Linked DNA regions of Saccharomyces cerevisiae S288C. The protein of the gene in region 1 interacts with the protein of each later gene in a biochemical or structural test. Each region holds a gene or a part of one and is shown on either strand. Other genes may lie near its edges.

Region 1 (5,658 bases):
TCCTGATTTGTTCGGTTTCCGGCAAGAAATCAAATCGGTATTCACCAGAGTCTAACTTTGATTGTAAATTGCTTCTGTTGGCTAAAAGCTGTTTCCGTGTTGAATTGAAAGTTCTATGCAGCAAAACAATGAACTCTAAGGCATCTTTTGTTAAAATATCAGCTACAGTAGTTTTGGAAGGTTCAAATTGAGGAGTCGTGTCGATGTCTGCGTATAGAGCAGTGTTGTCCAAGCTTATCTTCACCATTGTTCAGTGCTCTTTACCGTGCCTATGACACATACTCTAAGTGATATCAACTGCACAGAAAGTGAAGAATTAAGACTACATGCGTAAATGTCCCCATTTTATACTTATTGCTTCACCAATTGACGAAACTATCCAATCTTTGTGATACTTTCACGATGTACCTTATCCAAGATAAGCCAAAACTTATGAAATTCAATTTATGTGATAAGAAAAGCAAACGCAATTTTCCAAAATCCGCGGTATTCTATCGCACCGCAACTTTCAGCGGAGATTTTATGTCGATAATCGTAAACCTATGAAATTACTAATACATGAACATTTACATATTTACTTCGCCCACAGTCGCAGAATTAGATGATAATACAAACGTCGCCATCGCTGTAGTGTTCTTCCACACAGTCCTTCTCGGGCCTGTCAGGGTCCAGACTTTCGTAGATTAAGACTGAAAAATCCAAATGTTCTTCCTTGCCAAGTACTATCATGGGCGCATGCCAGGTACCTAAGCCATAGGTAACGGCCTGATTACCCAAACATGTAAAAGCCCTCAACGTAGACAAGTCTGGCTTATTTCCAATTTCTTTAGCGACTACTACCAAGTATGCTACTTCCGCTGACGTTCTCCCCATAGGCACAAACGTCTGCGTACTACACGGATGCTTTTCGAGGACTTTGATAGAATGAGAAATCGCCTGATTGGAGCCTTGAGTGAATACTCTATTCAGGTGCGGCTGTGGAAAGCAACGGAATAGGTTCCAATTGGGAACTTTACTGGTAGATTTATTCTCTACCTGGCTTACTTGAAGCAATTTGATCGCTGTTCCCTGGTTTGCACCTTTTTCAAGGTTTTGCATCCTTGAAATCTCTTCATCTGGCGAAATTATCGTCCCATACTCCTCGAAGGACTCTTTCGTCAATGTCTCCGCCACCACGGTCACCATATCTTTGCTTCAAAGATTTTTTGCCCTACAAGATAAGCATCAAGAGCGATTGGATGACAGTTACTGACTTATATATGCGAATGCACATGAATAGACCGCATATGCTTCTTATCAGTCTTACCTCGCTTATCTTTCCCCATTTATTTGCCAATCCATCTTATCTTATCTGGCACTTTGTCTCAGGGTTAGTGTTACAAAAAGGCTAGGACTTATTTCCAAAATTCTACTTTTGAAAATAACCCTAACAATAAAAGCAAGGGCATTCTGATGTTACCCTAGAAATGTCGTATTTCTTTTTATATCGTGGATCATGACAAAAAACTCAACATTTTCAAATGGGTGAGCTCTAAACCAGAAAATACAGCCGCCGAAAGCCTTTTAAAAGGACAGCGGCGCTTGATCAACAGTCGTTCTTGGGGTCGTTAAGACTAGATCCTGCTTCCCCCCCTTATTGTGCATTTAAAGGCACTTATTGAAGGTCATTTTGGCGAACAGAACATTTCGTTATGCAGCAGAACAGTGAGTTCTTAACGGAAACACCTGGAAGCGACCCTCATATATCTCAATTGCACGCGAATAGCGTAATGGAATCACAGCTCTTGGACGATTTCCTCCTGAACGGGTCTCCCATGTACCAGGATGATAGCATGGCGCATATTAATATTGATGAGGGTGCTAATTTCCAAAATTTTATCAAGACAGATGAGGGTGATTCGCCCAACCTGTTGTCTTTCGAAGGTATCGGTAACAATACTCATGTCAACCAAAACGTGTCCACTCCACTGGAGGAGGAAATGGAAAGTAACAGAGCCTTGAAGGAGGAAGAAGAGGACGAGCATGAAAATAAGGTTTTTAATGAAAAAAATATAGGCAACCCTGCTCATGACGAGATTGTATTTGGAAGAAAGGAGACGATTCAATCTGTTTACATAAATCCTTTAGATTACCTTAAAGTGAACGCAGCGCAGCTACCTTTGGATGTAGAGGTCTCAGGTTTGCCACAAGTATCTAGAGTGGAAAATCAACTGAAACTGAAAGTGAAAATTACGTCTGAAACACCACTAAACCAAAGCATGCTTTACTTGCCTAGCGATTCCATTTCAAGAGAAAAGTTTTATTTAAAAAAAAATATCGAGGATTTTTCAGAAGACTTCAAGAAAAATCTTCTGTACATCAATGCGTTTGTTCTATGTGCGGTCAGCAACAGAACGACAAATGTTTGTACCAAGTGTGTTAAGCGAGAACAAAGAAGAGCCGCTAGAAGGAAATCAGGTATTGCAGACAATTTACTCTGGTGTAATAATATTAATAGAAGGTTAGTCGTGTTCAATAACAAACAGGTTTTCCCCATAATGAAAACTTTCGATAATGTTAAGGAGTTTGAATTAACTACCAGGCTAGTTTGTTATTGCAGGCACCATAAGGCAAATAATGGCTTTGTCATATTATTCACTATAACAGATTGGCAAAATAGACTGTTGGGTAAGTTTACGACAACACCTATTATGATCACGGATAGAAAACCAGCAAATATGGATACCACCAAGTTTAATAACACTACTACCTCGTCCAGAAGGCAGCTAACGGAAGAAGAATCTACCACAGAATATTATTCAACGGATAACAACCAATTGAGCAAAGACGAAAATATGCCATTTCAATATACTTATCAACACAACCCATATGATAATGACAGTCAAATGAATAATATTCCACTGAAAGACAAAAACGTACCATTCCCATATTCCATCTCTCAACAGACAGATTTGCTTCAGAACAATAACTTATCACTGAACCTTTCTCTGCCCAATCAGCATATTCCATCACCAACATCTATGAGCGAAGAAGGCTCAGAATCATTTAACTATCATCATCGCGATAATGACAATCCCGTCCGTACTATCTCTTTGACAAATATTGAACAACAGAGTCAATTGAACCAACGGAAAAGAGCACGCAATAATTTGGAAAATGACATTGGTAAACCCCTATTCAAGCATTCCTTTTCAAATTCAATCAGTGCAACAAATACGATGAATCCAGCTTTACATTCAATGCAAGATTTCTCAATGAAAAACAACAACAATAATTTGCCATCAATTAATCGCGTTATACCTTCACAAGGCCCAATCAATGGTGGTATCGAAGTTACATTACTGGGTTGTAACTTCAAAGATGGTCTTTCTGTAAAGTTCGGCTCTAATCTTGCCCTTTCTACGCAATGCTGGAGTGAGACCACGATCGTCACTTATCTCCCTCCCGCTGCCTACGCGGGTCAAGTTTTCGTCTCTATTACTGATACGAATAATGAAAATAATAACGATGACCTTCCCCAAGAAATTGAGATCAATGACAATAAAAAGGCCATATTTACCTATGTTGATGATACTGATAGGCAACTGATTGAATTGGCTTTGCAAATTGTGGGATTAAAAATGAATGGTAAGTTAGAAGATGCAAGAAATATCGCGAAGAGGATTGTTGGCAATGATTCTCCTGATAGCGGTACAAATGGCAACAGCTGTTCAAAAAGCACAGGTCCCTCTCCAAACCAACACAGTATGAATCTGAACACAAGTGTTCTTTACTCCGATGAAGTCTTGATACAAAAAGTTATAAAATCATTGAACATAAATTCCAATATTTCCATATGTGATTCATTAGGGAGAACTTTATTACATCTTGCCTGTTTGAAAAATTACTCAAGCCTTGTGTATACATTGATTAAAAAGGGTGCTCGTGTTAACGATATTGATTCCTTTGGGCTAACTCCATTACATTTTGCTTGCATAAGTGGTGACCCTAAAATTATTAAGATGCTTTTAAATTGTAAAGTAAATTATTCACTGAGGTCACACAACGGATTAACTGCAAGAGAAGTATTCATAGCAAACCACATTCATTCAAAGGAAATAGACAAAAAACAAGATAACAGAGACAACCATAAGTTTGTTCATAATGACACTTATATCAGCGAAGTATTGTCATTGTTTGAAGAATTCCAAAACGGTACGAAGTTTACCGATAGTGTAGAAACAGACAGTAATTATTCTATTAGCAGGAAATATTCACAATCCAGTTTCAATTCAAGCCTGCTAGACAATGAATCTTTGAATGAGAACTTATTCGAAAGCCAAAGCATGATAAATCCCACTTCTATGGAGATTCAGCATCCAACCTTGCAACTATTTGAGAATTCAAGTTACTCTGAGTACGACCAAAGTGATTTCGAAGAAGACGGGGATGAAGATCTGTTCGTCACTGACGAAGTAGAAAAACCAGGTGTTGCATGCAGGGAGGAACAAAGCGAACTCCTTGATATTGGATCTAGCGCCAACGAACCCGAAGAGGATAATGGTAGTACATCTCTCTGGAATAGAGTTTTACATCGAATTAATGATGACTTACCAAAATATGAGGATCTGTTCCCGTTGTCTTGGGGTAAAGATGATAAATTGAAAACCACAAATCAAGACAGTATTGTGGAGCAGTCAGCATCTAATATTGAAAACTCTGAAAATTCGGAGGAAGAGGATTATGAGGAAGAGGAAGAATTTTTGAAAAAACAGTTTAACAGATTCTTCCAAAACAAACAAAACTTCCGAAATGATAAAATGTTAATATTTTTCTGGATACCCTTAACACTACTACTTTTGACATGGTTCATCATGTACAAATTTGGCAACCAAGATAGTTCCATCAATCATATAAGCGAATTAATCTCAGAGTACTTGAGAATTGCATTAGCAAAGTTCTTGCTGGGAAATGAAAGGATGAAAACTGCATTCAGGTCAAAATTATCAAACCTGCAAACAACAAGAATGTTGAACGATTTAATTGTCAGTTAGTCTGCTTTTTTACGTATATATATATATATATGTGTGTATAATGAAAAGACAGTACACTTAAAAGAAGAGAAAGTCATTTAAAAAAAGTCAAAAAAAAATTAAACTTGTAAATGTCAGCGTAACGATAATGTATATACTTTAAATGTAAACTACAATCTTGAAGATCTTTTAACACGAGCGCAATGTCTATCGAACAATTTCTTGGCTCTAACCCAGACAGGAGCAGTTTTTCTTTGAGGTAGGAGCTCTAAAGATGGTAAGAGATCATGAGAGAAAAATTCTGAAGCTTCTCTTGGCAGCAAAGAAGGCAAGTGATCAATAGAGATGACAGATAATTTAGGCCCGGCAGTGGTAGGTACCAGAACGGTAGGTTTGTTAAACACAGTAGCCACAGTGTATATTGGGATGGGGTTGTGAGGGTTGGTAGTGTCTGCTGATACGTCCACCACGGTCCTTAGTCTTCTGTTAGGATTATTCAGTTTCTCCATGTTAGTGAAAGGAGCAATTGGCTTCGATAGATATATACAATTGATAAAAATATCAGCTTGTGGAATTTCGTCAAAGGGACCACCACGGGAAGTTTCTTTGATATCCCATTTTAATATGTTAGCATCTGGAATACCAA
Region 2 (3,980 bases), on another chromosome or scaffold:
CTAACAAGTCCAGCCTACCATCGAATCAAACTATTGATATTAAATCTCAGTTTCAAAAAAGCCCAAAAGGGATGAAAGAGTCGTCTCCGTTAAAGGAGTTGGAAGATCCAAATTTCATAGAAGAGCAGAAAAAACTATGGGAAAAGGTTCAGAGTTCTTCCAAACAAGTAAAGTCCACATCCTCTGCATCTACTACCACATCTTCTTGGACTACGGTGACTTCTAAAGGGAAAGCACCTATAGGAACCGTTGTCTCCCCATATTCAAAAACCAATACCAGTTTAAATTCTTCATTAACGGCAAAAACTAGCACAACTTCTACTACCACTACCTTTGCTAGCATGAACAATGTTTCTCCCCGGCAAGAATTTATCAAATGGTGTAAATCACAGATGAAATTAAATTCTGGAATAACCAATAACAATGTCTTAGAACTATTATTGAGTTTACCTACGGGGCCAGAATCTAAAGAATTGATTCAAGAAACAATTTATGCCAATAGTGACGTTATGGATGGTAGAAGATTTGCCACTGAATTTATTAAAAGACGTGTTGCGTGCGAAAAACAAGGTGATGATCCACTAAGTTGGAATGAAGCGCTAGCTCTATCAGGCAATGATGACGACGGCTGGGAATTCCAAGTAGTGAGCAAGAAGAAGGGTAGAAAACACTGAAAGGAAAAGCTTCATAATTTTTTCTTTTCACTGCATATTTCTTTATCATTTATTGTTATTGTATATACTTTATAACTATTTTTTAACGCAGATAATGACAAATTCTATACATATTTTTAAAAAAACACTGAACGAGCGAATACATATCTTTGCACACAGTAGGCACTAATTGACTAATCTTCCATCATTATTTATTTTCAGCTCCCACTCTTTAATACACACTTCTTTCCGTTTCAAGATTGATTGATAACGTCTAGAGAGAGCTTGATTAAAGCAAATTTCTTTACAAACCATAACGAACAATTGAACCCAGCCCGGTTGCAATCTTTCAGCTTCTTGTAAAGTATCTTTAAATTCCAATTCAATTAATTTAACTTCAGTTTCAAATCTCTTCCAGTAATCCTCCCCAATAGAGCCATTTTTATATAGAAGGTTTATCTGAGGAGCCAACTCTTTTAACTTTAATGATCGTCTAACAGATTCTGCTCCTCTGTTCAATAAAGCGGCCTTCAACACCTTCTCGTGAATTTTTTCATTTTCACTCATTTCCTTTATTTGGAAATACAGATCATGGGCATCGTTTTCGTCAAATATGGATGGTTGCTCACTAATTTTTTTGGCCTGCTTCTTTCTGTAGCTTGAAGCAAACATCACAAGGGACACCACCAGAATAAAGACATATATGAGTGGGGTATAAACGGAGATTGATTTCGTCTCCACAATTGGCTCTTCCGTTTCAAAAAACGTCCCGTTGTTGGAGAATTTTGTTTCATTAAATTCGGACATATTGGCAAACTCAAGTAGTTGTGCGTACCTCTTTCCTGTACTTGAATTCGTTTAAATAAGCCATTTCATTAATATTTCATCAATTTTTTCACATATTATTTCAACTTTTAGACGTGTTCCTAAAACTTTTGACGTTTTTTGGCGGGTAATAAGATGCGTCTACCCATTTTAAGGAACGCCCTCGTAACATACAGAACGAAGAGTGGCAAATAATAGGACAGTACTCTGAAGAAAAATTTCCCTATACTACTGATATCGATATACATTTAAGTGAAGTATGCTTATCAGATTTAGATCAAAAAACGGTACACACAGGGTTTCTTGTCAAGAAAACGACCTTTTCGGAACGGTCATTGAAAAGTTGGTGGGTAATCTGGACCCCAATGCCGATGTCGACACATTTACTGTTTGTGAGAAGCCCGGTCAAGGTATTCATGCTGTTTCTGAACTAGCTGATCGAACAGTGATGGATCTAGGACTAAAGCACGGTGACATGCTGATCCTTAACTATTCGGACAAGCCCGCTAATGAGAAAGATGGTGTCAATGTTGAAATCGGATCCGTAGGTATTGACAGCAAGGGAATTCGTCAACACAGGTACGGTCCACTAAGGATCAAAGAACTCGCTGTAGATGAGGAACTAGAGAAAGAGGACGGATTAATTCCTCGTCAAAAATCAAAACTATGCAAGCACGGTGATAGAGGTATGTGTGAATACTGCTCGCCTTTACCTCCTTGGGACAAAGAATATCATGAGAAGAATAAGATCAAACATATATCGTTTCATTCATATCTTAAAAAGCTAAATGAAAATGCTAATAAGAAGGAGAACGGCAGCTCTTATATTTCCCCTCTTTCAGAACCTGATTTTAGAATCAATAAGCGTTGCCATAATGGCCATGAACCATGGCCTCGGGGGATATGTTCTAAATGTCAACCATCGGCAATTACATTACAACAGCAAGAATTTAGAATGGTTGACCACGTTGAATTTCAGAAGAGTGAAATAATTAATGAATTTATTCAGGCGTGGAGGTACACGGGTATGCAAAGATTTGGCTATATGTACGGATCTTATTCTAAGTATGATAACACACCTTTAGGTATAAAGGCCGTCGTTGAGGCGATATACGAGCCCCCTCAGCATGATGAGCAAGACGGTTTAACCATGGACGTAGAACAGGTCAAGAATGAAATGCTACAGATTGATAGACAGGCTCAAGAAATGGGGCTTTCGCGAATTGGCCTAATATTTACAGATTTATCTGACGCGGGAGCTGGGGATGGGTCTGTTTTTTGCAAAAGACATAAGGATTCGTTTTTTCTTTCATCATTAGAAGTTATTATGGCTGCTAGGCATCAAACAAGGCATCCTAATGTAAGCAAGTATAGCGAACAAGGTTTTTTTTCTTCCAAGTTTGTAACTTGCGTTATATCAGGTAATTTGGAAGGTGAAATTGATATTTCGAGCTACCAAGTATCCACAGAAGCTGAAGCATTGGTTACTGCAGATATGATAAGTGGGTCCACATTTCCTTCAATGGCATATATTAATGACACTACAGATGAAAGATATGTACCTGAGATATTTTACATGAAGTCGAATGAATATGGTATAACAGTGAAGGAAAATGCGAAGCCTGCATTTCCGGTAGACTATCTTTTAGTGACGCTGACTCATGGGTTCCCGAATACCGATACGGAAACCAACTCGAAATTCGTTAGTTCCACCGGATTTCCATGGAGCAATCGACAAGCTATGGGGCAATCTCAAGATTATCAAGAATTAAAAAAGTATTTATTCAATGTGGCTTCAAGTGGAGATTTCAATCTTTTGCATGAAAAAATCTCGAACTTTCATTTACTATTATACATAAATTCTCTGCAGATACTCTCTCCAGACGAATGGAAGTTACTAATAGAATCTGCTGTGAAAAATGAATGGGAAGAATCTCTACTAAAACTTGTCTCATCGGCTGGTTGGCAAACGTTAGTCATGATCCTTCAGGAAAGCGGCTAGGAGAGACTGTAAGATTTGAGGTTTTAGATTAAAAAAATAGAAATGCGCGGAAGGTAAAATTGAGCCTTTTTTATTTTAAAACTATGTAAATCATCCAAAATAGTAGACGTTTCTAGAACGTCCCCTTACCAAAAATCACATCATACGAGGAGTTTTAAGGAACAATAACTGGGAGTCGCTTTTACAAATTGGTATATATTAAGGTACTCTTGATATAAACCAAAGGACTTTGCCGTTTAGAGATTTTTATTTATGAAATCTTGTATATAGATTTTGGAAATATCCCTTAAAACTTCCTTTTTTTTTTTTTTTTACCTGTAACAGACGTAACCAAAGGATATAATATAATGAGCACTCCATTTGGCTTAGATTTAGGTAACAATAACTCAGTACTAGCAGTTGCCAGAAATAGGGGTATTGATGTCGTTGTCAATGAAGTTTCTAATAGGTCTACACCATCCTTGGTCGGCTTTGGCCCCAGAAATAGGTACTTAGGTGAA
Region 3 (4,484 bases), on another chromosome or scaffold:
CGTTTCAAGTATGTACCTCACGAGAGCAATTTCAACTGTAGTATAATACCCAGGTCACTATTCAGTTTTAAAATGCAAGAAAATTAAAAAACAAAAAACGTATGGTTGTAAAAAGCAGGGCACATTATATGTATATAAATAAAAAAAAAAATTAATAAAATCTAAAAAGAGGATATAAAAAATAAGAGGCGTAAGGCAATATAAATTATTGGTATCATGCTCCTTTTGAAAAGGAAAACCTCCTCTTATGGCGAACTTGAAAAGAACTTTGCGTAATCATCAAAAAAAGCACTTCACGTTTTCCTGCATTTTCTTTGCTGCTTTCCATGTTGCTGTAAAAACAACAATGATTAATCATTTCATGAGCAACTCAGATAAAATTAACAAAAAAGAGTTTTCTCTTTACTATTGTTAGCTGAAATATAAAACAAGATGATTGAGGCAGAAAGAATGTTGGGAAAACGGACACCATAAATAAAAAAAAAATTGGTGCGGAATAATCATTCTTGACCAAACCCTATGGTTTCTTCCACGGCCAATGTTAGCTTCTGTTTCATGCTGTCATAATCAACGTATTGTGGCAAATCAACTCTGTTAAAACATGTGTGAGATTTTGGCAATTGTTGTACTTCACCAGCTTTTTCAATAGTGAATCTTCTTGGACCATCAGAGCCTTGCAAATCTTTAAACCCGTTGACAGGTATACGAGAAGTACCAGTGGTGAACTGCAATAAACGGGCTCTTTGTTCATTATCCCATTCACTGACACACTTCCAAAACCATTGAATGACCTCGTCTGACTCTTGGTAACCACGATAATCAGTGTGTTTCTTCCAATCTTCAATGTCAATTTCCGCAATACCACCGATCAATAGTTCTAGTTCACGCTCATCAAACACAGTTACTAAGTCTTCGGGGATTAATTCGTTAAAACCATCCATGAATGCCTTAAATTGTTCTTGAACTCTATCAACAATTCTCCATTGGGTATATAATTCGACATATTCTTTCTTATTACCATCAGTAACTTCAATATTTCTCCCATCTGGCTTCAAATCCACTGTTACAACTTCACCGAATCTTTCATCGTCGGCACTGAACGTCAGATCCAAGACACCATCTATACTATTCTCAAGCATCCAGTTTAATGAGTTATACACCTCTGCGTCAACACCTTCCATATCTTGCAATACGACTTTTTTACGTAGCATCATTTTGTAAAGTGCACCTACAAAGAATGCATCCAAAAATCTTCTATGGAAAACACCAAGACCCACAACTCTACCAATGAATTTGAAATAGTTCAAATGTTCGGGGTTGATGCCACTGTTAGGATTTATTTGAATGGTATAGTTGTCATACGCAGAATATTCAAACAAACAATAAAATGGATTAAACATCTCATGTGATAATAAAAAGAAAAATTCTCTGGAAACACCACCGTAATCTAAACCTTCCTCACCATCAAACTTGATCATTAATCTTTTCTTTAAATCTTCTGGGGTTTGTCTCATAATTTCTTGATAAGCATCCTCAAAAATGTTCTTTCTACGTACTTTAATATGACATTGTCCCGGCAATATTCTAAGAGCGGGCTGGGACCTGAAATAAATAACCTTACGTCTGAAGTCACGCTTGTATTGTGGAACATTTTGGTCTAGCGATGATGGAAGTCTTGGGTCATCCCAGGTCGTTGTTTTTGTATTGTGGTCAACGAAATATACACGTGCCGTATTGGTCAATCTCATTTCCCATCCAGAAGGCAAAGGACCTAATTGGGAGACCGGTTGTTGCTGAATGGTGGTATTTGTAGGGCCATAAGTACGTATATACTGTTGTCTCCTTGGATCCACCCAAGTGGTTGTTCTAGTATTATGGTCAACGAAATAAGCTCTTCCTTCTGGAGTAAATCGCTGCTCCCAGCCTGAAGGTAATTCGCCTAAACCAGATGTGGTACCACCTGTAGCTGCAAACGCTGCTGCTGCTGCACCATTAACAGGAGGTATATTGGAACCACCTCCCACTTGAACTGTTACAGAGGAATTATCTGATGATCCACCAGGTAAAGTTCTTCCCCTATGCTGCCTTCTCTCTAACTCAGTATTTGCATTTAATTGGTTGCCACGTTCGGCTTCTGTTTGATCGAGCGTTGGACGTTTCCAAGTGGTAGTCCTTGTGTTATGATCGACGTAATATGTACGACCAAAGTTATCGGTCCTTCTCTCCCAACCAGGGGGTAAACGACCATACTGGTCTTCAAACGAAGAGTATTGTCTGGTAGCACTGGATGTGGAATTGGTGGAACGGTGACTGGTTGTTGCCGTATTAGTAGCAGCTGTTGTACCGCTTTGAAGAGTTGATTCTACTGCTTGCGCGGTGCCTCTGGAAGGATGAGACGTTGAATGATTACGGGTGGAGGAAGTAGAATGACCATTTGTTCGAGTAGTTGAACTTGTATTCGTACTAGAAGATGCAGTATGGCCAGAAGGAGCTTGTGAATGCGGACTTGACGAAGGTAGTTTTGATAAAACAACAATCAACCTACCGCTGACGGCCATTCCGTCATTAGATTTTTTTAAATCACGAGTAATAGTTTCTTCGCGAGGTCTACCACTCGATGTAGCAGTATCTTCATCCAAATGGCCCAAAACATCACCCACGCGGACGTTAACCACGCCAAGAAACCCTTGATCCTTCTTTTTAAATTTCTTTTGATCAAAGACTTGGATGGTTAAAATAGAATTTTCATTGATATCGTCGAATTTGAAAGTCTCATTCCAGTAGGGATTTAACGTTTTCTTCGCTGCGGATGTAGATTTGGTTTGGTAACCATCAATAGTCAGAACAGCAAACGGATCCGGGGAACGGAATACGTCCCTCTTATATAATGACTCTGCAGCCACTAACTTGACGGATATGGATGAAGGCATTTTTTTTCTTTTTTCTTTCCTTTCTGTTACTTTAAATATAATACCCAAGCTAACAAAGAAAAGGGAATAAGAAAAGGGGAAAATAGTTTTTGGTAAATTTATCGAACTAAAAACGCACTAAGAAAAAGCTGTGGCTTATGAAAGTGAAAGTCGAATAACACTATATTCGGTAGTTCCAACTAAAAGGTACTTACACACAAAAACAAGCAATTATTTCCTGCTGTTTTATTTGCTACGCACTCACTCTTCTAAAGAAGGACTGAACTGAAATTTTGACTCACTTGCAAAATGTGCTTCACGAATTATAGTAACAAGTCCAAAACTGTGGAAAAAACTGACAGCGCTTATTATCTTATAATCGTTTTTGTTTAACGAAAAAGTCGACTCTTGTAGCTCTAACGAAGAAAATGGAAAACAGCCTCAAAACACAACAAAGTCCTTTTATCAATTAGCAGATGCGATACTCGAGTACCCTAAAAATGGTTAAGCGTATGTCTTTTAATTGTCGAGATAGAAGCCCCCTCCCCCGCCAGCAAAAAATATTACCTTTCACCATGAAGATCACTGCAATTTGGTCTTTACCAAAAATTTCCACTAAATTTTTGTTTTTTCCCCTTTCTCGTATAATGTCATTATGTACGTAAGATCACATGATCGTATACTGTCACGTGACTGTGCGGCTGGTCTGCGCCAGCAATTTTTTTTTTCTGCTCTCAAATGTAAACAAACCAGCAGTCTGTTTTCTAAACAAATAAACATTAAAAGGTAAACAATACCAAATAATAATAGCAGCGTCAAAGCTACATTCTCAGTTCTCAAAGCTATTGTGTTGATTTCTATGTATGATTCAATGCCGGCATGATGTTAAATTTGCTGGTTTACTGAATAAGGCTTGGTTCATAACCAATTTGTAGTCATGACGACATAGCTGGGTGGGTGCTTACTGGTTTACATAAATAAGTGCGTAAACGTTTTACAATATATAAAAAGGTAGAAATATCTCTCCCAAGCTTTCCTCAAACTATCTTTTGGCTTCTTCTTCTTGCATGACTTCCAAATTTTAATCTGTGTTTGCTAAAAAATTTGATTGTAGGTGTGATAGTGAGAGTGACACGTATTAATATTATGCAAGATACCAAATACTACGAACCAACAAATATTTTTCGTCAGCCTGCTATTAATATAAAGAAGAGATCAGATAAAAAGAGGATTTTACAATCGATGATGACTTTATCCACATACAAAAAAACGTGGCAAAACAATACTTCGAAAATGAATTCACCGATTTTGCGAAAAGCATCAGACAACTTCAATGACTATTATACAACTAAAAAATTAAAATCAGATTATTGGAAACTGTACGGTGTTGATGAAAGTGAGTTATCCATACCTTCAGACATGTCCATTGTGGATAATATACTTCTAGTATCTACAATGAACGAGAAAGACAACTTGAAACTTTTTGAAATTTCCGCTGAGAAAAAGCTGAAGGAACTACAGACGATTACTGTTCCCGGTAAACCCATTACTTGTATCTGCTTATTGCCCATGGTA

What was found.
Region 2: the proteins of MGA2 (region 1) and NPL4 form a complex in vitro, tested with the Saccharomyces cerevisiae proteins (one study listed by BioGRID).
Region 3: of the proteins of MGA2 (region 1) and RSP5, one has a biochemical effect on the other in vitro, tested with the Saccharomyces cerevisiae proteins (5 studies listed by BioGRID, with this or other methods).

The regions. Positions count from the first base shown.
Region 1 is NC_001141.2:414,433-420,090, forward strand, and holds MGA2 (Mga2p), read left to right. Parts: upstream 1-1,691; coding exon 1,692-5,033; downstream 5,034-5,658. Other genes in the region: malate synthase DAL7, read right to left, coding at 1-247; DAL3 (ureidoglycolate hydrolase), read right to left, coding at 598-1,185; LYS1 (saccharopine dehydrogenase (NAD+, L-lysine-forming)), read right to left, coding at 5,183-5,658.
Region 2 is NC_001134.8:575,844-579,823, reverse strand, and holds NPL4 (nuclear protein localization protein 4), read left to right. Parts: upstream 1-1,737; coding exon 1,738-3,480; downstream 3,481-3,980. Other genes in the region: SMY2 (Smy2p), read left to right, coding at 1-674; Sec63 complex subunit SEC66, read right to left, coding at 840-1,460; adenyl-nucleotide exchange factor SSE2, read left to right, coding at 3,828-3,980. UniProt on the Saccharomyces cerevisiae protein: Substrate-recruiting cofactor of the CDC48-NPL4-UFD1 segregase. Assists CDC48 in the dislocation of misfolded, polyubiquitinated ERAD substrates that are subsequently delivered to the proteasome for degradation.
Region 3 is NC_001137.3:408,635-413,118, reverse strand, and holds RSP5 (NEDD4 family E3 ubiquitin-protein ligase), read right to left. Parts: upstream 2,931-4,484; coding exon 501-2,930; downstream 1-500. Other genes in the region: DSE1 (Dse1p), read left to right, coding at 4,056-4,484. UniProt on the Saccharomyces cerevisiae protein: E3 ubiquitin-protein ligase which accepts ubiquitin from an E2 ubiquitin-conjugating enzyme in the form of a thioester and then directly transfers the ubiquitin to targeted substrates.